Linked DNA regions of Nothobranchius furzeri. The protein of the gene in region 1 interacts with the protein of each later gene in a biochemical or structural test. Links are inferred from orthologs where the notes say so. Each region holds a gene or a part of one and is shown in the gene's direction. Other genes may lie near its edges.

Evidence for each region.
Region 2: of the proteins of cdk1 (region 1) and ptpn1, one has a biochemical effect on the other in vitro, tested with the Homo sapiens proteins (2 studies listed by BioGRID). The link is inferred for Nothobranchius furzeri from reciprocal best matches to the Homo sapiens genes CDK1 and PTPN1.
Region 3: of the proteins of cdk1 (region 1) and wee1, one has a biochemical effect on the other in vitro, tested with the Homo sapiens proteins (5 studies listed by BioGRID, with this or other methods). The link is inferred for Nothobranchius furzeri from reciprocal best matches to the Homo sapiens genes CDK1 and WEE1.
Region 4: of the proteins of cdk1 (region 1) and cdca5, one has a biochemical effect on the other in vitro, tested with the Homo sapiens proteins (2 studies listed by BioGRID). The link is inferred for Nothobranchius furzeri from reciprocal best matches to the Homo sapiens genes CDK1 and CDCA5.
Region 5: of the proteins of cdk1 (region 1) and rb1, one has a biochemical effect on the other in vitro, tested with the Homo sapiens proteins (8 studies listed by BioGRID). The link is inferred for Nothobranchius furzeri from reciprocal best matches to the Homo sapiens genes CDK1 and RB1.
Region 6: of the proteins of cdk1 (region 1) and foxm1, one has a biochemical effect on the other in vitro, tested with the Homo sapiens proteins (2 studies listed by BioGRID). The link is inferred for Nothobranchius furzeri from reciprocal best matches to the Homo sapiens genes CDK1 and FOXM1.
Region 7: of the proteins of cdk1 (region 1) and hmga1a, one has a biochemical effect on the other in vitro, tested with the Homo sapiens proteins (3 studies listed by BioGRID and IntAct). The link is inferred for Nothobranchius furzeri from reciprocal best matches to the Homo sapiens genes CDK1 and HMGA1.

Annotation. Positions count from the first base shown.
Region 1 is NC_091752.1:60,143,044-60,146,493, forward strand, and holds the end of cdk1 (cyclin-dependent kinase 1), read left to right. Parts: intron 1-2,686; coding exon 2,687-2,803; 3' UTR 2,804-2,950; downstream 2,951-3,450. UniProt on the Homo sapiens protein: Plays a key role in the control of the eukaryotic cell cycle by modulating the centrosome cycle as well as mitotic onset; promotes G2-M transition via association with multiple interphase cyclins.
Region 2 is NC_091755.1:52,048,892-52,053,047, forward strand, and holds the start of ptpn1 (tyrosine-protein phosphatase non-receptor type 1), read left to right. Parts: upstream 1-1,356; 5' UTR 1,357-1,572; coding exon 1,573-1,629; intron 1,630-2,144; coding exon 2,145-2,235; intron 2,236-2,776; coding exon 2,777-2,877; intron 2,878-3,366; coding exon 3,367-3,465; intron 3,466-3,563; coding exon 3,564-3,701; intron 3,702-4,156. UniProt on the Homo sapiens protein: Tyrosine-protein phosphatase which acts as a regulator of endoplasmic reticulum unfolded protein response. Mediates dephosphorylation of EIF2AK3/PERK; inactivating the protein kinase activity of EIF2AK3/PERK.
Region 3 is NC_091744.1:46,647,475-46,651,558, forward strand, and holds the start of wee1 (wee1-like protein kinase), read left to right. Parts: upstream 1-1,284; 5' UTR 1,285-2,089; coding exon 2,090-2,611; intron 2,612-3,023; coding exon 3,024-3,238; intron 3,239-3,605; coding exon 3,606-3,672; intron 3,673-4,084. Other genes in the region: znf143b (zinc finger protein 143), read left to right, coding at 804-887. UniProt on the Homo sapiens protein: Acts as a negative regulator of entry into mitosis (G2 to M transition) by protecting the nucleus from cytoplasmically activated cyclin B1-complexed CDK1 before the onset of mitosis by mediating phosphorylation of CDK1 on 'Tyr-15'.
Region 4 is NC_091759.1:26,797,174-26,800,324, reverse strand, and holds cdca5 (sororin), read left to right. Parts: upstream 1-1,456; coding exon 1,457-2,209; 3' UTR 2,210-2,651; downstream 2,652-3,151. UniProt on the Homo sapiens protein: Regulator of sister chromatid cohesion in mitosis stabilizing cohesin complex association with chromatin. May antagonize the action of WAPL which stimulates cohesin dissociation from chromatin.
Region 5 is NC_091750.1:48,268,348-48,271,847, reverse strand, and holds part of rb1 (retinoblastoma-associated protein), read left to right. Parts: exon of another isoform or gene 1-27; intron 28-1,162; coding exon 1,163-1,278; intron 1,279-1,508; coding exon 1,509-1,675; intron 1,676-1,954; coding exon 1,955-2,100; intron 2,101-2,187; coding exon 2,188-2,292; intron 2,293-2,364; coding exon 2,365-2,478; intron 2,479-2,553; coding exon 2,554-2,702; intron 2,703-2,795; coding exon 2,796-2,826; intron 2,827-2,917; coding exon 2,918-3,057; intron 3,058-3,200; coding exon 3,201-3,247; intron 3,248-3,320; coding exon 3,321-3,391; 3' UTR 3,392-3,500. UniProt on the Homo sapiens protein: Tumor suppressor that is a key regulator of the G1/S transition of the cell cycle. The hypophosphorylated form binds transcription regulators of the E2F family, preventing transcription of E2F-responsive genes.
Region 6 is NC_091741.1:41,398,879-41,402,279, reverse strand, and holds the end of foxm1 (forkhead box protein M1), read left to right. Parts: intron 1-1,521; coding exon 1,522-1,561; intron 1,562-1,689; coding exon 1,690-1,862; intron 1,863-1,938; coding exon 1,939-2,751; 3' UTR 2,752-2,901; downstream 2,902-3,401. UniProt on the Homo sapiens protein: Transcription factor regulating the expression of cell cycle genes essential for DNA replication and mitosis. Plays a role in the control of cell proliferation. Also plays a role in DNA break repair, participating in the DNA damage checkpoint response.
Region 7 is NC_091755.1:54,122,556-54,126,727, forward strand, and holds the start of hmga1a (high mobility group AT-hook 1a), read left to right. Parts: upstream 1-1,372; 5' UTR 1,373-1,581; intron 1,582-1,663; exon of another isoform or gene 1,664-1,818; intron 1,819-2,459; 5' UTR 2,460-2,474; coding exon 2,475-2,573; intron 2,574-3,311; coding exon 3,312-3,392; intron 3,393-4,172. UniProt on the Homo sapiens protein: HMG-I/Y bind preferentially to the minor groove of A+T rich regions in double-stranded DNA. It is suggested that these proteins could function in nucleosome phasing and in the 3'-end processing of mRNA transcripts.

The DNA of each region.
Region 1 (3,450 bases):
AGGCTCCTAAAACCAAACATGACTTGTACACAAAATGACTTGTGTTCACAAGAGGCATGGCGGCAAGGTTGAAGAACTTCATCTTCCAATCTTAACTCAGGAAATAGCGGGACACACTAAGGTACGCCTCTGTAGCACGGCTGGTCCACATGTCAGCAGTCAGGGACAAGCGACAGCTCAGAGGGTCTGCTTTACCGTAAAGATACCAGATTAATAATTATGTTATATTTAGGAACGCACGTTTCCCAACATTTCTTTAATGGTTATTGAGGTCCGGTTAAGCAGAAACCAACCAAAACCCTACGCCCACAAACACTTGCCCCCTTCATTTTTGAGCACAGTCATGTGATGAGCTCATTTCTTCTGCTTGCCCAGTAAACATATTTTGATATCAGCGCTAGTGTGCCCTCTAGTGGCACAAATTATATTACACCTCATCACAGCAGAAGGACTGAAAGCAGTTAACCGGTTACAACATTAACCGGCTATCTGTGTACATTCCTAGTTATATCAAATAAAGTAGGTTAAGATGAAAATGTATTATGCTTTAGCAAGATTAGTTTCTTGATTGCTCAGTCAGCAACCTTTTTATTTGATCATAAAATACATTTTATTCTAATGCAGGTGAGATTAAAAAATGTTTATAAATTAAATAACGCGTAGACTATTAAAGGGGACAAAGAATCTAAACCAACATTTTCTTGTTGTTTGTGAATAAAGACAGCCTGGGTGATCAAAAGTAGCACGCCAAAAAGTCAAAGCTGTGTGTGACCTACTTTTTATGTAAATTAGAAAGTTTAAAAATGCCAAAGAAAAACTTCTTTTCTGAGAAATCTCTCATAAAAACTTCACAACGTGGAGCTCTTCCTCCTCCAGTCTCCAGTGTCTGAGGCCTTCTGGTTTAAACCAACCAATCAGCAAGCAGCTCATTAGCATATTCATGTCCTGGCCAAGTGGGAGGGATAAACCGCTCTTTTCACAGTAAGGCTGATTTTACACTGGCCTGTATGGCCTATTTGAAAACTACTATAATTGAGGTTGGGATGTTCTATTCCTGAGCTGCCCGCACACAGAAGGATGACTGACCTAATGTACTTTTCCTTAAGCCTGGTTCATGCTTCTCCGTCAGCTCCGCAAGAGACAGACGCGCATGGATTGACGGAAGCGTTTTGCTCTCATACTTCTCCGTCTCATGGAGAGTGTTGCAAAGCAATTCCCCGGCTGGACAACAGAGGGCGTAGCGCTGTTCTGTGGTATCCTGTCATGCATCGGTCCAAGATAGTGTTGTTTATATTATGTTTTTTGTATATAAGAGACTTTTAACACGGACATATTTGTCTCTCATCCTCCTCCACCTCTTCATGCGCTCACCACCTCTAAACCCACGTTTCCTGTCATTTCCGTCCACAAATAAAATGCTTGCTGCGCATCTTTTCACTCCTCCAGCCACGGGGGAATTAAACGTTCATGTTTTTAGAGTTTTTTCGCGAGGTATTCTTCAAGCTTCTCCGTGTCTGCTGCTTGTTATCCTCGGCTCTCTTTGTGTTTTTGAGGGCGCAGTGGCGGCACTGTAGACAACAGCGGCGTCCTGACCAATCACAAGCTTGCGTTGTCTGTCTCGAGTGATGGATGTTTAGAAAAGAGCTCGACTCCATCCGTCCTTGCGGAGCTCTCCGGCAGGCACGCAAGGACGTTGCGTGTCTCCGCACTGACGCAGACGGAGAAGCATGAATCAGGCTTTAGAGGGATGGTATGGTCTCCTCTGGACGCTCCTTTCTGTGTGGCTGTTCTGATATTCACAAATTCACTGGCTAAGGTGTATTTATTGTTTACAGCTTTCCCTCACATGAGGCATGAAGTTTGAGTGTGAGTCTACCTGGATGTGTAGGTATTTGTACTGTTGGACAATTCAATGTTCTTCTCCTGAAACTGTGATGTCTAGGTCTACAGTTGTCTTCTGTCTACTGCTTATGACTAATTGAGCTAACTGTTTTAAATATTGATAGTCTGACCATTGATTTTGAGAGTTTATTGGCTACTTCTTGTTTGGAGGTTGCACGTACATTTAAAACTAAAAGTAAACTCTGTCCAAGACTGGGGAGGTGATGCTGCTGATGCCGATACTAGTAGCATGGACGCTAATGACTGTAAAGACTTACTGCTTTGTTTTCCTGAAGCATAAACATGTATTCACCTTCCCATCTTTGTTGAAACACCTTCCCTTCATCAGTCTTTCTCTTCCTGGACGTTGTGGGATAATCTGTGGATGGTTATTTTCACTTGTTCCATTAAACACAGATGTGGAAATGCTGCGACCCAGTGGTGAAATACTGTAGCTGCACTGGTAACACAATCGCCATGCACTGTGGGAAATGTAGTTTATCGTTGGTGTACACTTTGAACTTGAAGATCTCATGGGCCACATCCGGCCCATGGGCCTTCAGTCTGACACGTCCGCGAGAGGGACTGTTTCTCGGGTGGCCAGGGATTTCCTTGGGGTTCCCCCAGAGGAACTGGCTCAAGTCGCGGGGAAGAGGAAAGTCTAGGCCTCTCTGCTTAGGCTGCTTACCCCGTGACCCAACTCTGGATAAGTGGCTGAAAATGGATGGATGGATCTGTAAATGGGACTGAAATAGTTTTAAAGCTGACATTTGCTTTTTCTTCTTCTTTTTTTTTTTTTAAATAGAAAATGCTGGTTTACAATCCTCCAAAGAGAATCTCTGCACGTGAGGCCATGAAACACCCCTACTTTGATGACCTGGACAAATCCACCCTGCCAGCTGCTACCAGCAATAACATCTAGGACCCATTTACTCATTCCACTTCAACGCATTCATTTCCTCTGGGAATATTCATCTGTAAATACTTCTCTGTTTGTGTGTGTGCAGACCATAAAAAGTGTAATGGCTTTCAATAAACCTAAAATTAGCATGATTTGCTTTTAAACTGACATATTGGCTCCATTAGTGGACAATAACCTTTCACCAGTTTCATTATGTAGTTAATGCAGTCTGAGTATCAGTCATGTTGCAGTTTTACAGCCTACTGGGTTAAAAACAAGCTAAAACGGTGTTTCTGTGCCTATCTATGAAATCTACTGGTGTAATGAGAGATTTCTCTTCACATGCCAATAGACCTAATGTTGGAATACCATGGACTTCATTAATTCCTCTGTGGGGAAATTCACTTGCTGCAGCAGCACACACACTTGAAGACTAAGTAAAATACGAATACAGTTAACTCAAACCACTAAAAACAATAAATAAATAAAAACTTGGTTTTCCAGAAGTATGCAGCATTAGAGGCAAACTAATGTACATCCAGAATTACACAAGTAATGAACTCTTACTGAGTATTGTATTGATGTTATTTCAAATACTAATGCTAGTACCAGGAGTTATATACACTATCTGCAGAAGGGGACATACGACCTACGGTGGACCTACATCT
Region 2 (4,156 bases), on another chromosome or scaffold:
TGTAGTATATGTTGTTACATGACTATATGTTGTTACATGACGTTGTTACCTGATGTTCAGACATGATGTTGTTACTTGATTTTGTTACATGATGTTACTTGATGTTGGTACCTGATGTTATTGCATGATGATAGTACATAATGTTGTTACCTGATGTTGTTACAAGATGTTGTATAATGTTGTTACTTAATGTCACCTGATGTTACCTGATGCTGGTACCTGATGATGTTACATGATGTTACGTGATGTTATTTGATGTTGTTACCTGATGATGTTACATTATGTTGTTACCTGATGTTGTTACTTGATGTTGTTACATGATGATGTTACATTATGTTGTTACCTGATGTTGTTACTTGATATTGTTACATGATGATGTTACCTGATGTTGTTACCAGATGTTGTTACATGATGATGTTACATTATGTTGTTACCAGATGTTGTTACATGATGTTATTATTTGATGTTGTTACTTAATGTTGTTACCTGATGTTGTTACCCGATGTTGTTACCGGATGTTGTTATATGGTGTAGTTACTTGATGTTGTTACTTGATGTTATTACCTGATGTTGTTACTCGATGTTGTTACCTGATGCAAAAACAAGGTAAAATAACACTTGCTGTGTTAAAAAGAACAGTAATGCAGTAGAAATGCAGAACAATTTAATAAAACAATGTCAAATGTTATGACATGTTACTCATTTCTATGCACAGTGTAGAAGTAAAATGCTATTTGTGACCAAAGTGCCATTTAAAAAGATGAACTCAAATGTCAACTCACTTGTGCAGTGGAAATATGAACTAGACAAAGACATGGACAGATATGTTTGCCACATCTGAAGGGGATAACCTAATATAAATTAATGGAAAGCTGACATAATTTGCTTCAAAAGTTTGTTTTCCCTGACAAAGTCTCAGTTATGGAAAACTTGAGACACAATTTTAATATTGTGACAGTTTTGGTTATCATTGGTTTTGATTTTATAATTCAGATTGTCATTTTGACAGAAATATTTACACTGACGTTCAAATTACTTTTTAAATGTAATTATATTAAATGTTAAAACAGCTTGCCAAATTCACCGGCAGCCGGGGCGATGACGTACACAGTGCGTGAGTGTGCGTGCGCGCTCCCCAAAGAGCGAGACGCGTTTTTTTCCCAGAAATATGATGCCTCCCGCGCGTCCTCGCCTGTTGGTCGCTGCTGTTTCAGAAATGGTGAGATGACGATTCTGTGTCAACAGACTTACTTTCCAGACTTGAAGAAGTGCTGTGAATCCTACACAGATATCTCACAGCAGCAAATTAAAACAAAACAAAACACATTGTGCTCTTTTTAGCCACCCAAGGACGACAGCTACACCGTGTAGGAGGAGCTAGCGGCGTGTTTCCGTTAAGAGTAGGCCGAGATGGCGATCTAAGCAGCCGCACTGAATGCGAGCTAACAGCGGCCGAAGATTGGGCAGCTACTACCGGAAACCGATTCACTACTAATTCTTTAATTACCGGGAAGCTGTGGTTCTTCGTTTTGGGCTGGGCGTAAAGAAAGAGTGGCAGCTGAACTGGAAGCAATGGAAGCCGAGTTCTTGGAAATCGATGAGAACGAGAGGTGGAGCGCCATTTACCAGGTAGGAACTATCGGCTGATCATCAAGGTGGAGACACGAACCGTAGGTGAAGCTGTCATTTTAGGCCTGCTCACAACGAGTCAGCAGATATATAAGGTATTAATAATAATCAATGTTTTTATTAGTCACCGGGACTTTTCTGGGTGTGTACAGCCTTGTTCTGATGTGTCTGTCCGGGTATAATACCTGCAACACTCGCTAGGACCCAGGAGTGGCCCGGATCTGTTCTGACTTTAATAAACCTTTATCAAGTGTCCATTAAAACGTTAATCACGTTTTAAAATGCTGTTTAATCACTACTCATGAGTAACTACTTTATTATGATAATTTTAAGTGTGTGTACATGTTTACCTGCATTAACAGTGTTAATAGTGTGATGTCTAGACTCTTTTTTTCTTCTGTTTTTCTAAAGAATTAAATTTAGGAAGTAAGGCCTACATGCACTCAGATCCACTTTCACAGTGTGTGAAACCTAAATCTGCTAAAATTTATTTGGTAAATTTTATTTTGTCTCAGGAGATTCGCCAGCAGTCCAGCGAGTGCGCATGCAATGATGCCAAACTGCCTGAAAACAAGACTCGAAACCGTTACAGGGATGTCAGCCCATGTGAGTTACACTTTGATCATCAGCAGACTCGTTTGTTGTTTTCTCTCGGTTATTATAACCATTCTTAAATTCAGGTAGATTGTGTATTTCCTATCATACCCATATAATAATTCAAAGGTGACAGATTGTAAATTGTTAGGATTGTCTCTTTGAAACTAATTTCTAAATTTTAAATAAGAAAACAACAGTAATTATACAAGTTAGAAAATGTAAAAATAGTTACTATCCACAGAACTAAATCCATCACAGTCCAGCAGCTGAGCTTTGCTGGTTTCCTCTTTTTCACACTGAATAAGCTATGCAAATTGTGCAGCTTGGGTTGCAAATACTTAGTTTTTATTATTCACATCTAACAAGATGTGAAAATGAGGAACCTGAAACTTTTGCCCACATTTACATCTCATATGAAGGATAGGTGGTTACCTCTGTTGTTAGTTTGCTCAATGACTCTTTTCTCATCAGTGTTGCGATGGTAGGGCTGTTCCTCCCCTTCTAAACAACAACAAGACATTTTTATCTGTCTTTTGTCCCCGCTCCTCAGTTGACCACAGCAGAATACACCTGCAGCTGGGTTCCAACGACTACATCAATGCCAGCCTGATAACTGTTGAAGAGGCTCAGAGAAATTATATTCTTACTCAGGTAAGCATCCTGAAGATTCACTGTCCTCTGTATGATTTTACATACAGACACACATCTACTGTATGTAACACGTCTTGGAGTTATGATGTCAACAAATGATTTGGAAAATGGAAGAATACCACAGTGAGAGCATATCCATGGGATTGATCAGTGAGGGAAAAACAGCAAATAGAAAAGCAAGAATATTAAGAGGAGTATATATCAGGCTTTCTATTTGAAAATGGTGGAAATGGGCCATCACTGCTTGTAGTTAAAATGCTGGATGTGGACTAAACTGTCACAACTGCACGTGTCACAAAATCAGAGGCAGTGGCTCGGGTCCAGCTGGAGCCGTGGTTCTGTATGTCTGTATCACAGTACGCTGGTAAAAACCTGGAGATTAGAACGTGGCTGGATCTGTTATTTATTCATCCCGTGCTAATATTGTTATCTAGTGATGCGAAGAAGAAAGTGTGATGTCTTTAAAGGAGTGGTTTATTCCCTGTTTAGGGACCCCTGCCGAGTACGTGTGGCCATTTCTGGGAGATGGTCTGGGAGCAGAGGACCCACGGTGTGGTGATGCTAAACCGGGTCATAGAGAAAGGATCTGTAAGCAGTCGTCTGTCCTTACCGAGACCTTTTAATGTGTCCATTACTCAGGAGTCACGCTACTCTTTTGTTTTCACATGACCTTTGTTTGGTTTTAGATTAAATGTGCTCAATACTGGCCGCAAAGAGAGGAGAAGGACGCCATCTTTGAAGACACCAACTTCAAGGTGACTCTCGTCTCGGAGGACATCAAATCTTACTACACAGTCCGACAGCTGGAGCTGGAAAACCTGTTGGTAAGTCCTCTCTGTTGAGCTGTCTGCCTGAGATAAGAGGTTATTTGACGCTGAGAGCCCGTGGGTCCTGAACACCTTCTGCCACTCGTGATTTAGTCATGAAGACAGAGAAAATATACACGGTGTCTTGTGCTTTAGAGCAAATTAGGAAGGATAAAAGCTAAAGAAGAATTTAACTATTACATCCACAATTTTTACAGAGCTAAATAGTTGTAACTCGTATTTTCAGTTTGGCAGGAATGTCAGGAGCTGGTCCTACGTCTCATCACTTCCTGGTTTTGATCTATAATTTTGCTGCTGAAGTTTGTGGAGCATGAACTGATTTGTTGACAGCACTGGACCTTTCTGAAAATCTGTGTTTAGTTGGGCTTTTCTAGCTGCTGAGGGGATTTGATGCTAACCTATAAAAGGAAGTTTTTTTCCCTAGTTTTTGCTTTAATGCTGATCTGAGCTGA
Region 3 (4,084 bases), on another chromosome or scaffold:
CTAGTTGTGGCGGCAGTTGGCCACACAGGTGCCTGATTTTTAAATTAAAAAAAACTTTATCGGCTTTTTAAAATAATTTTGGCCGACATAGAAAAAACTGAATATATCAGCCGGCCTCTAATTCAGATCTGAGAAAGCCACCAGCATGCCTCCAAAATACTAATATCCATTTTATGGTTGGAGTTTTGAGATGTAGTAAAGCAGGCCTGTCGGACGTGGGTGGGGGGCATGATTAGCTCTAGTGGTGTGACGTTCATGAACGAATCGAATCTTTTGAACGGGTTTTCAAAGTGAACGATGAGAGCAGATTCCCTCTAGAGAGCTGTTCATCTTGTCTTCCGGTAACAAACCTCCCCAGAAGTCAGTAAAGCGCAGCCGCTCAAACACCACCCACCACTGTCACGGACGTAGGAGGAGCACTAAACAACCCCGTGCACCCTCACGGACACCGCCGCAACACGTTGCTCTCTTTGCTTCGCTTCTTTCAAAGGAGCCAGTCTTTTGAACGGCTCTTTGAGGTAAACGACCGACTAATGAACGACTCCCACGAAAGAGCCATAAATCCCTAATCACACTAATTAGATCAAAGTCTGATAATCGGCCTTTTTTATTGTGAACTTATTTATTGTATTTGTAAATTACAAAACAGTCTTCCCTATCCTGAAATACAACCGTCTGTAACATCATCAGTTTAAAGATGGGTTTAGAGTAAACAAATGCAACAAAAGACCCTGATAGAGTAATACACACCAGTCTGTGTTAAATATTGTTGTAATGCTGCTTTCTGTCTTTTCTTCCTGTAGCTGACTGATCAGCCGTCGCTGGAGGAAGCCATTAGGATAGCATCAAGGATACAGCAGGGAGAGTCACCAGGCCTGGATGATTGATGAACTCCTTATGGACAAAAAAAAGACTGTTTAACTTTATAAGTGGGAGAAATTATGAGTCTTCCTTCTATTTGTTTTCACAGATGAAAGTTGCTCTCATGTGTACATAGGATTTTAATAATCTGAATTATGTTGTGTATTTTTCCCCTCATAAAAACATTTGGGGGATGCCTTCAAATGTTAAAAGTGTACAGTAAATGCTATTTGTAAACAAATCTGTGACTCTTAACTTTCCATCACTATTGCTCCACTCTGCAGGTGAAGAGGCTAGAGATCCATACCAAATGGTTCATTTAGAATATTCCTAACAAATAAACAACTTGCTGCATCAACAAAAAAGGGTACAATGGAAGACAACTGTTAAGAGATGGTGCTTACAGTGTTATAAATAACCAGATGATTCAGTTTGGGATTTTTTTTTCCCACTACAAACCACACCACCCAGTCTGCTGTATAACTTCACCTTTGGCAGTGAGAATATTTCTTCTAAAAAGGAACGATAAGTTTGACTCGTTTGAAATTCGCGGCAATATAAACGTAATTTTGATTAACGTAATTGGGTTTCAAGTTGCTTCACAACAGAGGCTTGTTTGATCGTGCCGCCTGATGACTTCGCGTTTTGTCTTGGCAATGTGAGCGTCGTGAAAAGGCACACGTTCGCGCCATATTGTTTTGCTGATATCTATGACGTAATCCACCAGAAATCGCTCTGGAACGCCCAGCTTTCAAAATTCAGAGGCAAGCTCTGATTGGCTGCGGTGTGACACGTGACCAACGGTCGCGGGAAGTTCTTCGCCACGCGCGTCACGGGAAGAACTCGTTGCTTGACTCATTCAAAACTTTTTGTAAACATAAGTAAGGTTTAATCGAGGAAAGACGTCGGTGAGTCACCGGGACGTCGGTGGACCGGACAGCCGCACTGGAGTTAACGGACTGAGTACTTTTATTCGTTTTTACTTTAATACTTTGGACGTTACATGGAATACGGCTCGTGAGAGGCCATTTCTTAGCGTTTCTCCCCGTGTTGTTGGGAGTTAGCAAGAAGAAAGTTAACGCTGGAGATTAAAAAACGTCTTAACCGATACCTTTACGTGAAGGTAAATAGAAGCAGACTACTTTTCTGTGGTGGGTATCCCCGGTATTTTTTTTTTTTTTTTTTTTTTAATTTTTTGGTCGATAATCTCGGGGTTTAAATCTTGAAAATGTCGAGTTACAGTCGCCATCGACACGGAACCCCCTCCCCTAAGTCTCGACCCATCCGTCAGAAGTTAAAGTTCACTTCCAGCGATGGAGAGGACGACCCTATCGAGGATGTGAACAACAGCACCGGCGGAGAGTCCGGCTTCACGGAGATGGATTCCCCCACGCCATTGCGACGGGACACTGTCGGGAAGCGGCTGGAGGGCAGCTGCAGCCCCCTGAATCAGTCCGGTGGGGACGACGACGTGGAGCTGTGGGACGAGGAGAGTCTCGGTTCCCCGTCTCTAATCTGTTCACCGAGCAGTGTTATTTTTAAAAACTGTTCACCGAGCAGTGTTATTTTTAAAAACTGTTCACCGTCATCCAAGAAAGTGTCCCGGTTGTTCGGAGGGTCGCCTGAAGCTGGAAGGAGCTTCCAGGACGACGGAGAAGGATCCAGCTCTCCGATCCCGGACTGCCCGGACACACCTCCGCACAAAACCTTCAGGAAACTCCGGCTCTTTGACACGCCGCACACCCCGAAGGTCAGGATCTGTGTAGACAACAACATCTTCATGTGTCTCCGTAGAAACATGAGTTTACTAAACATTAAGAATTTTTTTTATTTATTTTCATTTTTTGCAAGTTTGATCTATTCATTCACAGCTAGCTTTAAAAGCTGCCCTGTTAGGGGCGCACGTTTTAATATAAAACATCCGTTTGTTGTAAAACTTCCAAAAGCCCATTCACTGCGCTAGAGTCTGGTATCAGCCCGGTGACCCATTAATGTACCTGTTGCATAAGCCTGTTGGTCAGAGTCCATGCAGCTTTATGTCCAGACATGTCTGCATTAGACAAGACACCAAAACTTTACTCTTTATTTGAAATCAAGTCAACGTGAGTTCAAGCAGATGTTTTGTTTTGTGCGTTTAGTAACGACTGGTCCTGTTTTTGCAGAGTTTGCTTTCCAGAGCCAGAGGTTCTGCACCAGGATCCTCCAGCAGAAGAGTTGCTCTTTTTAAAAATGTTGAGTCTCCAAGAAAGCCAGCCTCGGACAGTGGCAGGAGACCGCACATCCCGCTGGTCAACTTTAACCCCTTCACCCCCGATTCCCTCATCATCCAGTCAGCCACACAGGAGAGGAACAACAGGAAGAGAGCACACTGGAACGAGTATGTTGCTCAGGGGTTCTCAGATTCTAGATTATCTTGTCAGTACTTGTTATGTATGAAGATACTGTTCTGTAGGACCAGATCAGCTGAAATATCTATTTTATGTATTAGTTGTTCCTGAGGTGCTGCCAGAGATCATCACACGTTGCAGAGCAGGGTCGAGCAGCTGCACCTGTTCTTTGTAAAACACAATGAGGCCTTTGTTGAGGCAGACCAGTGATGTTAAGGCCGTTTGTTGATTAGGACTAGGGGGTGTTGGCTGGAAGTCAAGACCTCATGGTTACTGATGAACTCAGACATGTGCTTGTGAAGGCACTGTGCTGCCCCCTGCTGGATAGAATGCTAACCAAATATCCCCTTGTTTCAGCTCCTGTGGAGAAGACATGGAGGCAAGTGACGGTGAAGGCAAGGATGAAGTCCTCCCACCATCGAAGGTAAATGAAACTTTTACCCCTTCATAGATTTCTTCATTTTGACCCTTTACTGTGGAAACAAAACCCCTAACCCCAAACAAATGGCGTGAAGTAGACTGGAAGATCTCAAAAAAAACATGCCATCATGACCTGTGCTAAAGACGTGTGGTTGTTACCAATATTCTTTGGAAACATCCATGAAAATGTTGTTGAAAATGTATTAAATGATGCCCAGTAGTTGAAAATAGTGGCTGTTTTGTATCTGATAAAAATTGGGTCTGAAATACACAGGAGTGGGTCTAAGGCCCAATCTCAATACTCTCACTTGCACCCTTGATATTACCTACAATCCGTAGCAGCAGGAGAAAAGACTCAAATGCCTTTTTTGAAAATATGTATTTTCTAATGAAAGTTGTCAATTTTAGGACGATTA
Region 4 (3,151 bases), on another chromosome or scaffold:
AATCCAACAGGATTTACTGCTGAAAACATGTCACACAAAGTTTTCAGCTTCCTCCTACTAGCGCAGCGCTGGGCAACATGCCGTTTCTAAAACATGGACAGAAACCTGGTTCAACAGCCAGCGGTTTAGCCGACTCATCGCTGGAGTCAAGAAAAACCGGGATTTTCACCCCAGCGGTAAAAATCGTACTTTTACAGATTATTATAATTACAGTTGTTTAAAGCGGTGGTGCAGAATACCAACCCTGCTCCGGAGATAATCTGCAAGGTTCTTCCGTGTGAAGTTTGCTGCTGCTGTTGGACTGAGTTCATAACCTAAAACCAGGAAACAAGCATCAGTAATTGTTGGTGACAAACGGTGAAACTAAGGAAGAGCGCCACAACCACATCATACCATTTCTCATCTTGTACAGCTGAACGTTCTTCTGGATGTACTCCGCGAACTGCACCGTGTCTCCGGCCTCTCCGACACACAGCAGCAGGATCTTTTCACTCAGCTTGAACATTTTGTCATAATCTGAGACACCAAAGAACAAAACTCAGTGTGAAAGTCATCCTCTGAAAAAAGCCAGATGTCAGCACCAGTCGCCCCAAAAACAGAAACCAGGTCCGGATTCAGGCGAGTGATGAGAAAACATCACTTTGAAAAAGAACCAGGAGGTTGGACTGAAGCATCCCTTCAGATCAGATTCATTTACATCTAACTTTAAACAACGATCAGTAACACATGTGCACTGTTTTAGATCAGAACCAGTTTGATTTGGTTTCTGTTGAACACAACCGGACTTTCACTTTCACCGCCGGGGTCGCTCACCACGAGATTTAGCAGGCTAGAATAAAGCATATAAACATCCTAAAGCTCAGAACTAAACTCAGAAGCTAAGTTTGATTTCTAAAAGGCTCATCGTACCTCTCATTGGCCGGTAATGGCTTTATTGTCTTACTTTTTAATCTCCTTTGGCAAATAAAATGTGACAAATGGTCATTAATGCGTTAGAATGAAACAGCAAATCCTAAAATATAAAGACTTATACGCAGACACGCGTCTGACAAACAGAAACAGAATCAAATGAGAGAAGAGCTAATGCTAAGCTAGGTAGCTAACACACCGTGTTTCATCTGAATGATGCTGCTGGCGGCCACATTATCGGCTGCGACGAGAACGAAATCCGGTCCCTGTATACCGATTAAATATTCCATCGTCTCCAACCGAACCAACACGGAATAACGGTGAAAATCAGGTGAGACAGCAGTCAAGTATGAGCGTCAAGCGTCCGGATTACACAGCAAAAACTTTGCTCTTCCACTGGCGCGGCTTGTTAGAGTCACGATGATGTTGTCGTCATCACCGTGCGACTCGAGCGGGTAATTTCGAAAGTGGCGCCGTTGTTTGAGCAACCGGAGGAGATTCAATCGAAACCGAGTGAATAATTCGCTGTTAGTGGGCAGATTTCAGCATGGACGAAGGCTCGCCTCATGGGGCGATGGCGGGAGCTAACGGTCCTCTCGGGCCGCAGCGAAGACGCTCGCCGCGGTTCAGTTCTCCGCAAGCTCCGCTGGGAGGTGAGAAGATGGCGCTGGGAATTAAACGCTCCATCACCGTGCGGAAAATAGCGCCCAGAAAAACGAGCGCTTCGTCTAAACACAACAAGGAGAACACGCCGAGGCACTCCGAGCAGGTACAGCAGCTGAAGACCAAAGTCTCAACCCCCGATCCCGGCCCGGACCGCAGGGCCTCCTCCTCCGCCGCGAGGAAGAAGCAGCAGGCGCCCATGCCCTCACGGATCCTCCCGTCCTCCCCACCGGACTCCTGTCGGACCCAGCAGCCGGCTGCTGAACCAGAGGCCGGCGTGTGTGCGCAGAAAGCCCGCCGGTCCTATAGCAGGCTCAGCGACAGTTCCCTCCACAGTAGCCCCGACTCCAGAGAAACGTTATTCGGCTTCGAGAGGCTGAGGACCCCGGAGGTTGTCCGGAAGTCCAAGCAGACCAGGGACGCTCTGGAAGTTTCTGGACCCATCACGTCTTTCACTGAATCGACCGACGAGGGCTTTGCTGAACCGGACCCGAACATCCCCGGAGTGTCGGTGTCAAAGGAGCGGAGGAGGAGGCGGAAGGTGCCGCAGATTGACTCGGCCGAGCTGGACCATCTGGCCGCTCAGATGAACGCGGAGTTCCGGGAGGCCGAGGAGTTCGAGTTGGTGGTGGAGTAGAACCGAACCCACCAGAACCAGCGTATGGATCTTTGACTGGAGGGGTGGTGGGGGTGTAAATACGTCCGGGACTCTTGATGGATTGTATATGTAGCTCGTGAAGGTTTTTTTCTCTACACCATCATGGTTCGGTCCATTTGGACTTCCTGTGTCGGCTCTGTAGCTTGAGAGTTCTGGATAAATCAAAACGGACTTTGTTCTGGTTAAGCGGTTCTGATCAGATCCCAGACCGGTTCTGATGCAGTATTCTTTACTGAATAAACCAGAGAAACAACACGAGCCCAGTAGAACCGAACCAGAACCAGAACGTCTCTGCTGACAGAGTTGAACTGACTTCAGGTTAAAGCTGCTTTTCTGGCTTTGTGGAGTTTTTTGTTGGACTTTTCCAGGTTTTCCTGTCAGTTTTCCTTTCTGCTTCCTAATAAACCCACACTGAAGCAAGCACCCTGCCTGTTGACCTGTTCACACGTCACTTCAGATTAGAGTTAATCTGGGCTACAGTTAACCTGGGTTATAGTTAATCTGGGCTACAGTTAACCTGGGTTATAGTTAGTCTGGGCTACAGTTAACCTGGGTTATAGTTAGTCTGGGCTACAGTTAACCTGGGTTATAGTTAGTCTGGGCTACAGTTAACCTGGGTTATAGTTAATCTGGGCTACAGTTAGTCTGGGTTAGTGTTAAACACAAACAACAACATTGACCATGATCACACATTTACTGTGTTTAAAACCAAACTTCAGACCAGAACACACGATTGGTCACACACTCCATGACATCAGCACTTTACCTGACAGCATTAATTTAAATATAAACAACCCTGGTACTGATGAAAGGGTGAATGTAGATAACACATTTACTGTAATTCACATCATTGTGTCTCTCAGTGAACACCTGGTCCGTTCAGAGGACTTAATCCAGCGCTTTACTATGAATGAATGAATT
Region 5 (3,500 bases), on another chromosome or scaffold:
TATCAGTATTCCTTTACAGAAGACATGATATCTGTCCCTCGGGTGGAAGAGCCGAGCTCTTTTTCTCAGTTCTGTGATCTGTCAGGTGGTTCCTCCTCCCTCGTTCTCTCGTATGTTCCCGCAGCGTCCCCTGTGAGCTCATTGTAGCTCTCTGCTCCTCCTTTACTGTAACTCAGACGTCCCACTGCTGCACGTGTGAGGCTCAGAGAACTCTGTGGCTCAGGGAGGAGTCTGCACAGGGGTCAAAGTCCTCCTTCAGATGATTTGTTTAAAATAAAAATTAAATTTAAATATTTCTGTTGACAAGCAAATGCAGCTGCACTAGAAACACAAATCAGCTGTTGACAAGCAAATGCAGCTGCACTAGAAACACAAATCAGCTGTTGACAAGTAAATGCAGCTGCACTAGAAACACAAATCAGCTGTTGACAAAACTCTTAAGATAATGAGTTACCAAACCTAGTATGTCACGCTACCCACTAGAGCCACAGATTTTGTTTTCGAAACATCGGTGACGTCAGCGGGGTGCAGCATGCGAGTATGACACAAAGAATGTTCCAAACATGTCTGAACACAGTCACATGTGTATTGTGAAGTCACTTTTTTATCATAGGGTAATAAGCCTCCAGGATCCCCCTCCCCAGAGGTGTTGATCTGAGTTGTGTGCTTGTTTATTGTCACACGCTCCCTAAACCGTCAGGATGTTCCAGCTCCATCAGATTCAGTTTAGCAGGTTTTCAGATCTAATCAAGCTTGACGCTGGATGTTCCTGTATCTGTGTCACATACTTGGCGTGTCCTTGTGGCAATATTCAGTGAGGAACAGTTGTGTTGTCAGACCAGAGACGTGTAATATGGACTATTTTTGCGAGGGAAATTTTGTGTAAAGTTCACGTATAACCACTTCCTTTTCACACTTGGGTTGGGGTTGGCGATCAGATCATCAGGCTGCTTGTGTAGGCTGCGGATTAAAGAAAAATAGATATGAAGACTGAGCTCAGATGTAATGATGATGAAACAATGCACACATTTGTACAGGTTTTGTGTGTTTTGTGGTTTGGTTTAAGTGACGATGTGAAAACCTCTCCGGTGTGTTTTTATTCCTCACAGTTTTAATAAATCGTAGGATTAAAGTAAATCTGTGCGTGTGTTTGTGTTGTCAGGGATCCCCGCTGTTTGAGCTCCTGAAACAGGAACGTGGGAGTGGAGCAGAGGAGCAGGTGGAGACTCCCGGCAGTTTCAGCCAGCCGCTGCAGCACAACCACACCGCTGCAGACCTGTAAGTTACTTTACAACCAGTCGGGGAAATAAGATCTCATCTCAGACCCTAAAACCCTTTTTTTTTTTGGGTTAAATTTGTGAAACCGTTGTGCCTCACCGAACTCCATGACTCACTCGCAGTTTCCTGCTGCGCATCAGTGTTTGGGTTTTTCCTGGGATGGAAATGTCACTTATCAGTGTTGAAAGGTTATCTAACATGTTCCACTGGTTGCACTGACGCATGAGCAGATATCTGTCACCGATGCGAGCCGGCCAGTGGGTTTCGCCTCCTGAGTCCCCCGTGAAGCCCGTGTGCAAGTCTGCCCCCGTGGCTTCCTCCAACCCCGCCTCTCAAGCTCCTGGTCAAGTTCCACGACATTCCAAGTCCAACTCCCTAAGCCTCTTCTATAAAAAATGTAAGTAAATTTTAGTTACTGATCTGAGGGCTCAGGGGTTGTCTTGTATTTAGTAAGAAATATTTGTTGAGATGAGCAGTAAAACAAGAGTTGATTTGCTATAAAAATATTTTTAGAATTTCACAAACTCAAATCATTTTTTGCAGAAATGTTATTTTTCTCCTTCGTTTGCATGAACCCAACTGCTCGTTTAACAGCCTTCCTCTCTGAACTCAAAGAAATGAGGTTGAATGTTAACGCTGTAGTTTACACGTGTTTTCTCTGCCCCTTCCTCTGTAGTGTACTGCCTGGCGTACACCAGACTAAAGACGCTCTGCTCCTACTTGTTGTCCTCTCACCCTGAACTGGAGCCCATCATCTGGACCTTGTTCCAGCACACTCTGCAGCATGAGTACGAGCTGATGAGAGACCATCACCTGGACCAGGTGCTTCAACACCAGCATGACTTTAATCCTCCCGTCTCCACCTCTTGTTTCTTTTTACTATTAAATCACCTGCTTGTCCTTTTGCAGTTGATGATGTCAGCCATGTATGCCATATGCAAAGTGAAGAGTGTCGATCTGCGCTTCAAGTCCATCGTGTCGGCGTACAAGAACCTGCCCAACACCAACCAAGAGGTGGTGCAGCTTCATCCGTAGAAGTGAACTTCCTGTTAATTCACCACTTATTAAACCTGCTGTGCTCTGCAGACATTTAAACACGTCTTGATCACTGAAGGCCAGTACGACTCCATCATCGTCTTTTACAACCAGGTGTTCATGCAGAAGCTAAAAACCAACATCCTGCAGTATGCATCTACCAGGGTAAGTCCACAGGGAAGCTTGGATCCATTTATGACCAGTAAAGCTTACTGCTTTAATACCGATATTTTTTTCCAGCCGCCCCCCCTCTCTCCAATCCCACAAATACCACGCAGTCCCTATAAGTTCCCCAACTCGCCTCTGCGTGTTCCTGGGAGCAACAACGTTTACATTTCTCCCATGAAGAGCTCTCGCGTGTCCCCGGGTATTATTACACCTCGCTCCAGGTCGGTGCTTCATTTTTGTGATTTGAATTTTATTCATTTCAAATGTTTGAAGTATTTTAAAACATCTTATGGTGTTGTTCGTGCCCTTTGCAGAATGCTGGTATCAATCGGGGAATCGTTTGGGGTAGATGGTCACCCTCACAGAATGCTGCAACTCCTTTTTTCCTCTCTCACACTTGACTTATTCATTAATCCTGTTATGTCCTCATCTGCAGCTGTCCAATCGCTTCCAGAAGATCAACCAGATGGTCAGCAGCGATCGCTCCCACAAGAGGACCCTGGATCTGGGATCTACTCCAAAACCTCTGAAGAGGCTCCGCTTCGACATCGACGGGCAAGACGAAACTGACGGCAGGTCGGTTATCACAGCCATGATTTAGTAACTGCGCCTCAAACATGTTTGCTTTTATTTTGGACATAAAGAAAAGTAACTGTGGTATATTAAACAGCTGACTGACGAGTTAGGAGGATTTAAAGTGTCTTTACTGCAATTTACAGCAAACCTGGAGAAGACTCAACTCTGATACAGAAGCTGACAGAGATGAGTGAGTGTGTTTATATTCCTGTTGTTGCCGTTGAAAAGGGTTGGTATTGATCCAGTGGGATTGTTGTGTGCAGGCTCCACTCGGAGTCGCATGCAGGAGCAGAAGCTGAAGGAAGACGCCGAATCCAGGAAGGAGTCACTTTAAAACCAACATGCGCCGATGGCCACGTTGTTCACTACTGTTTAAGTTTGTATTTAATTTTACTCTGATGTCAGAGGGCATGTTCCTCTTTTTGTGTTTTTACTAAATGAGG
Region 6 (3,401 bases), on another chromosome or scaffold:
AATTTTAGATACTTTTGAGTGTTTAATATTTTAATTCTTTTTTATAATTAAATATATATTTTTCTCAATATATAACCATATTTGATAAATATCACAATAAATAACATACAACTGTTTGTATTTTAACATCGTCCTTGTAGTTTTATAAGCTGATAATTAAACTGAAGCAAACATCTTTACTGTGAACTAAATTTACTGTGTATCTTCATTCCTTTTGCCGTCCTTTTTCATTTGATTTTTCCTACTTGGAAGTTAGAATTTCCGAGGAGTAAGCGAACGCACCGTTAGCTGATAACAATGGTGGCAACGGAAGCTAACATATCAAGCTAACGTTATCTTAAACAGTTTATTTAGCTGCTGGAGCAGATTAAAACGATGATGCCTCACACTTAGATCGCTGTCGCTGGTTTCATCTTCACCCAATCACCCGTCGCATTTAGTAAAGTGAAGCCAAACTTTAGAGCGCGTTCATGTTCTTCTAGTCGGAAATTCGGAGTTCCGAGGAGAAAGCGGACACACCATTAGCAGAACGGAAGCTAACAAATCAAGCAAACGTTATCTTAAACATTTTATTTACCTACCGGAGCAGATTAAGATGAGGATGTCTCACTTAGATCGTTGTCGCTGGTTTCATCTTCACCCAATCACCCGTCACATTTAGTAAAGTGAAGCCAAACTTTAGAGCGCATTCTAGTCAGAAATTCGGAGTTCCGAGGAGAAAGCGAACGCACCATTAGCGAAACGGAAGCTAACATATCAAGCTAACGTTGTCTTAAACATTTTGTTTACCTACCGGAGCAGATTAAGATGAGGATGTCTCACTTAGATCGTTGTCGCTGGTTTCATCATCACCCAGTTACCCATCACATTTAGTGAAGTGGAGCCAAGCTTTAGCGTACGTTCTTTCTACCATGCTGCTCTGTTTACAACTCGCTCGCAGCGACCGACATAGCGCTCTTGCGCATGCGCAGCTGTCTAGGCAAGTTCTCGTTATGAAGGACGGGTACCGAAACGAGGCACCGTTTCACATGACGTGAATCTGTGCTCAGTCTGTACTATGGAATTCGGTCGGTACCTTAAAAAGTACAGAATTCGGTACCCATCGCTAGGAGCCACACAACATGAGTTCATAAAGCTGGTGCAATCTGCTGGATAGGTAGCGCAATATCGGTCATCTTTTTGGCCAATAACCGATACGGTTAATGACTCCAATATCGGCCGATATATCGGTCGGGCCCTAGTTTTCATGTATTTATTTGAGGTAAGAAAATGCAGGTGAACCTGGAGCTGTGAGGTCATCTTATTGCAGGAGGTGATCTGAGAACCAGAGAGGCTGAAGAGGCTTTCCCTTGTCTAACGCTGGTTTATACCCACTCACAAATACAGCTATTTTTTTTATCCATAAAAGGAGTCAGTTGGAAAGGGTACCGTCTTTGTCAGCATTGTTAATAAAGTTGTATTCATTTGACTATTTTAAAGTGATGGTGCATCTTTTCGTTTTCCTTTCCATGTCAACAAAAGAGAACGGCTGCTGTTGGCAGAAAAATACCAGCCTCTTCTGGTGAGTTAAGGACTAGGCTGGAGCCTCAGAGTTCCCAAATCCACTTCTAGTTTCCAGAAATGACTCAGACTCATCCTCAGAGCCCTACTTGTGCTGCTGGTTCATGTTCCGTGTCTCCTTGTGCTCAGAGAGAAGGATGAAACCGCTTCTCCCTCGAACCGAATCCTACTTGGTTCCGATCCAGCTCCCTGTGGCCTCTCCGTTGTATCTGTCAACCCCGTCTGCCTCCTTTAGCTACGCTTGCCCCAAGCAGAAGCAGACCTTTTCTCGAGGGGCAAAGAGAGTCCGCATAGCTCCTAAGGTAAACCGCTTTTTAGGCACAACTTGTTGTAATTTTCGATGCCAAAGGAATCTAACATATTATTTTCCATGAAAAGGTGACACAAAGCAGCATCTCGGTTGTGGCTGAATCTCCTCCCAAGATCACTAACCTGAAGCTGGAGATAAAGGAGGAGCCAGTTGATGTTCCAATAAGATGTGAGACTCCCATTCGTCCTCCGAAGAGACAAGCCAGCAGCTCTCGACGCAAACAGAGCCTGGCTAACTCGCTGCACGAGGAGCCTGTTCTCCTCTGTCCTGATAGTGACTTCTTCGACTCTGGTGTAGCTTCTGATGTGTCGACGTTCCAGGACGTTCTGGATGTCGGGCCGAATGAGCAGCGGCACAGACAAGACAGTCCTGACCGGGGGTTCTCCTTCAAGACTCCGATAAAGAGCATCACCCACCTGACCTCTTCCACCCCCAGCAAACGCTCTTCTGCTGGACTCGAGCCATGGCTCGTGACCCCTGTGGGCAAAGGGAGCCAAAACATTCTGGACTTCAGTCCTATTCGCACTCCAAGCGGTCCTGTAGCCACGCCCCGGCACGAATACACCACCTTCAGTCTGAACAGCACTCCCTTTAAAGACCTGGCTCTGTTCAGCTCCCCCCGGGAGTTGCTCACCACGGCTCCCTGCAGAGTCACCAGATCAACGGAGTCGCCGATCGGACACCCGCAAAGCAGCTGCTCCAGGGAGCTCCTGCAAGCCGGCAGCGCCACGCCCACTAACCGCTCGCTCACGGAGGGCCTCGTGCTGGACCTCATGAACGACAGCCTGAGCAAGATTCTGGTGGACATCAGCTTCACGGGTCTGGACGAGGAACTGGGCATCGCTAATATCAGCTGGTCCGAGTTCATCGGGCAGGTTTAGATCACTGGAAAGATAAACTGCAGAATTTGGAGAAAACACTACAAACCACACACACACACTCTTTATTGCTTTAATGAAACTTTATTGACAAACCGCAGGTTGATTTTTAAATATTAACGCATCTTTATGAATATATGTTACAAGAAGAGAGCCGTCGTCTCTCTGGAACAAAACGAGCTCCTTTTTGCTTTGCTTGAGCTGATTTTTGCTGCCGTTTCTGGTGAAGTTTGAGATAAACGACAGCGAGGCTTGCTCACTCGTGCTTGGCTGTTTCTCTGCTAGTTTGGGTTTGTTTGTTTTGCTCATTTAAATCACTTATTGGATTATTAACGTCCGAACATTTTAATCCACAACTGTCGTTGAAAGAAGATGAATATTTAAGTGTATAAATAAGTTGATTTGCACATTCTAATATATGATTTACAGCACTTCCATCTGCAAGTGGGAAAGAGTTTCTGAATATTTTAGAAAGATCTTTCTGTGCCTCGTGGTTCAAACAGCGTTTGGAACCGCATTAGACTGTAGGAGTAAGAAAGTATTACTATTATTAGCACTAACAGCAATAGGATTGTCTCTGTTTACTTTAGAAATGTACGTTGTTGTTTTAATTCTCACTGACTGGAATGTTTTTGCCATCTTCCAGATCTGAT
Region 7 (4,172 bases), on another chromosome or scaffold:
AAAAAAGAAGAAAGAAAACCATAATGAAGAAAAACCTTGCTAATTATAGTTAAGATTCAAATATAATTCTGAAATAGCAGCAAAAAAGTACAATTTTTATTTCAAATGACTCATAAAATGTTTAATAAAAATCTATGTTAAACTTTTCATATTAATTGTTGCCTAATACAAGAATAATTTAGGGACCATGTCTGCACATGTAGATGAGCACCGATGTTAACAGAACAGTAAAATTCTTTGAGAAAATCAGCGATGCTTCATAGGGAGTTTACGATTTAATTTCATTCAAACTAAACTTCGGCTAGTAGATTAAAATTAGCTCCACATTTACTGTTTCTCTTAGGGTTTCATACAAAATGAATACACAAATATGTTTTAAAGATTAGCATAATTAAAAAAAAGAAAGGAAAATCAACATAAAGAAAAAAAACTCCTCAATATAATTAAGATTCAAATATAATTCTGAAATAGCTGCTCAAAAATGTCATTTGAATTTTAAATGAAACATAATTGTTTTTTCTTTAATGCACAACAAATAAAAGAAAATTAGATTAAAATTAGCTCCACATGCATTGTTTCCGTTTGGGTTTTGTACAAAATAATATTATTAATATATTTAAATAATATGTATAAATTAAATTACTTTTTAGTCTCGTTATTTAAACATGAGCAAAGGGATTGTTTACATTGGGGGACGTCATCATAGTTCAAGCGCCATGACAGTGGAGGCTATGACACAATGTAGGTTAATTTTATTTTATGAAAAAAGTGGATTGTAAGCAATTTAGTCATTTCGTAAAACCCCTTAGATGCTAAAACAATGACGATTTACCAACTACTTTCACCCATGTCAAGAAAGTGATTCATAAAAATGGAGATTTGTAAGACGTTAGCTCTTATCATTCTATAATCCTTTATTAGACAAATTAACTCACTTTGCTTTCCCCCCAATACTTAGTTATTTGTTTGAATGTATAATTTTGGAGATTATTATACAACTATGATAAATTTATTATATGTATAATATAAAACTTTTGGATATTAATTTGGGACTCTTTCAGAATGAATGTAAACAATGGGAGAAATGTCTTGTTTACATTATAATAACGATATTTTAGAAGCCATTCACAAGCTGTCCGGTAAACATACAGTAAGCAATAATTTTATATAACAACTTAAAGAAATACGTACTGTGACCTTCGACGAGTTGAAAGTAACTAGATAAGTGACGAGATTAAACGTAAACTTCCACAGGTAGCGCGTCTCGACTTGTAAACACCCTGTGACGCAATAATCGGCCTGCGCAGGCGCTGCGCATTTCCCCAAAGTATAATATTTCGACGGGGGGCACGGATAGTCGGAACACCGGCGGTGCTGAGTGGAGGTTGGGCTGTTCTGGTTCTGTTGGTGGCCCTCGTTATCATATCCCCGCCCTCCAGTGTTCCCGCTCTCCTGAGGGCGGTTCTTTAAATTGTCCAAAAACTCCTCCTGTCCGACTCCGGCGCCTTTCATTCCTTTATCTGCGCGAGACGCACGTGCTCTACCGAGGGAAACCTTTGGATTAAACTTCTCACCGTGCTGGTAAAAATAAATATGTTTCATGTACAAAAATGCAGAAAGTTCAGCTTTTCGCTTATTTAAATGGGTTTGTGTGTGTTTTTAAGGCGCGTGAGCTGGGCTTTTTAAATGGGCGGGCTGTCTGACGAATAAAAGCTGTAGCCTATAGATCAGCTTTTTAACCGGGTACGCACCAGCCGGGCTTCAAACGGAAACAAGTCTACCTGAGTTTAGCACGGAGGCGATAGCACCGTGACAAAGGTGAGTGGGGATGCGACCACCGGTTTTACAAACAGCCCGGAGCTCCGGCGGGAAACGGCGGCACGTTGTCAGCCGTCTTTTGTTGCTTCGGTCCGGGCTCGCTCCGCTACACGGAGACCTCGGTTGCTGCTCTCCCCTCCGCCACTTAATTTTTAAAAAGCCATTCAGCTCAAAGCTTGTTGCCTGCAACCAGAAACGAGCCGCGGCCATTGTGGTGTGTGAGTGTCGGTGGATCTCTCCGCGGCCCAGGCGTGCAGACACGCTGCTCTGAGATGGTTCCGTGCGCAGGCCTGGTCTTTGGGCTCCTGCGGGGCCTATAAGCGCGGTCGGTACCGGAGGGAATTGGCTGGTTTTGTGGTCTTTTGCAGGTTAAGCCTGCTGTGATCGGTTTTCTGCGTAAACCTCTTGTGTCGCAGAGCGCAGACGAGACGGAAATAGACCTGGAAACCAGCGCGGATTAATTGGGTTAAACCGTGCGTGGTGCGGTCGGTCATCTTTGGTTTGTTGTTGCGGTCAGTGGGTTTAGTGGCTCACGGGTACACGCTGTGCTCAGTTTTCTGTGTGAACTCGACGCCTCTTGCAGCATCAAGGCCGGCCGGTAGGGTTTATTTAAATCATCATTATCATCATCATCCATTCAGGTTGGAAGAGCAAATATGAGCGACAAGGGGACAGTCTCACCGAAAGAGAAGGAGGCGGCAGAGAAGAGAGGGCGTGGAAGACCCCGCAAATCGCTCGAGGTGAAAACCTCTGACGTAAGTAGTGTCTATTTATTCTGGTATACTAGCTGATTTTCTACCACCCCGTCGTTTTATTATTATTATTATTATTTTTTATTTTTATTTTTGCATGCCATGGGAATAAACTTGATCTTAAATGCATGCAGAACCAGGCCGGTGTGGTGCTGAGCCTCAGGTCCTCTTGTGATCGCTGAGGCTCAGTTAGACGCACATGCAGGTTTGTGCATATCAGAGTCTTGAGACCAGAATAAAATAGCCCAGACTGCAGGAGCATGGCCTTGTGGCCATTTGCCCCCTGCTTTTCCACTGCTGAGGTGTACAGCAAATTCCCAGCATGTCTCACCAGTTTGTAAGCAACCAGTAACCTAACACCTTTAAACTGGTTTTAACCTCCCCCTCATCCTCTTCTGCATTACATAGGAGAGTTGTGGCCCAGAGTGGATCACATAGATGTCACTTGGCCTGCTGTGTATTACTATTGAGTTGCTGGGTTGCTAAGAGCTGTGATGATCAACACATCAGACGAGCAACAGAAGACGAGTGGGCCATGACGCCGGTTTAAACCACGAGTTGTGCATGAATTTGCTGAACTTTCAGATGTTATGGCAGTCCCCTCTGATGTTTACGGTTCAGCCAGATTGCTCAGTCAGTTTTTGTTTTGATTTCAATTGTTTTGATGTGCACTAAAATTGAGCCTTTTTGGGCATCTATTAAAACATTCTTGATATTAACTATAACCTGTTTGATATCCAGGAGCCAAGTGGGTCACCAACTCCAAAGAGGCCCAGAGGGCGACCAAAGGGCAGCAAAAACAAGACTGCTGGCAAGGGCAAGGTAAGTCATTGCTCGTCTTGTTTGAAACTTATATTCCCGTAGTTTGCAACAGCTAACCTCATCCTCTGCTGTTGATATATGTTTATTGGCTGCAGTTCAAGGTGCCACAAATAGCCCGGCCATGACTCCCTATTGGGGGCGGCAAAGTGATTATCAATACCAATAAATCTTGGTTAACTGCTTTATTTGGGGGTGGAAGGGGGGGCCTGATATTTACCCTGTACTTCCTGTCCTCCAGCTTCCTGCAGCTTGTCATGCACTGTGTGGTGCAGGTGCAGAGGCCGCAAGACTGTTTCCAGGCTGACACTAAGCACCCCTCCGCCCCCAACCAGCACACAGCCCTACTTCTTCTCTCTGCCTGTCGTCTCCATAGCAACAACTGCTTTTTCTCCCTCTCCCCAACCCTTTAGCTCCCCTGTGTGTGCGCGCCATTTGCTGTTACGTATGGGAGATGGAGTGAATAAGGGAGTTTAGGAAGCACCGGTATAGGTTTAGAAGTGCGGGCCAAGCTGTAGGGTTTGTCTCCACTCGATTTCACCAGCTGTCTCTGAGCCTCGGACCAGGTGGCCAGCGAACTGGAGTGCCCCGTGTGCAGTTCCTGTCGGCCGTCCAGATAATAGCCAATGAACCCAGTGCCCCCTTTCGATCGGTCTTGTTGCAGAAGTACGGCTGCCATCTACAGGCTAATCTGCAAATGGACGACAGATCCCCAGCACGTCGCTGAGAATGAAAATCATCTCTAAACAGCAAGACCCTCTTAAAGCTATATTGACCTTTTTA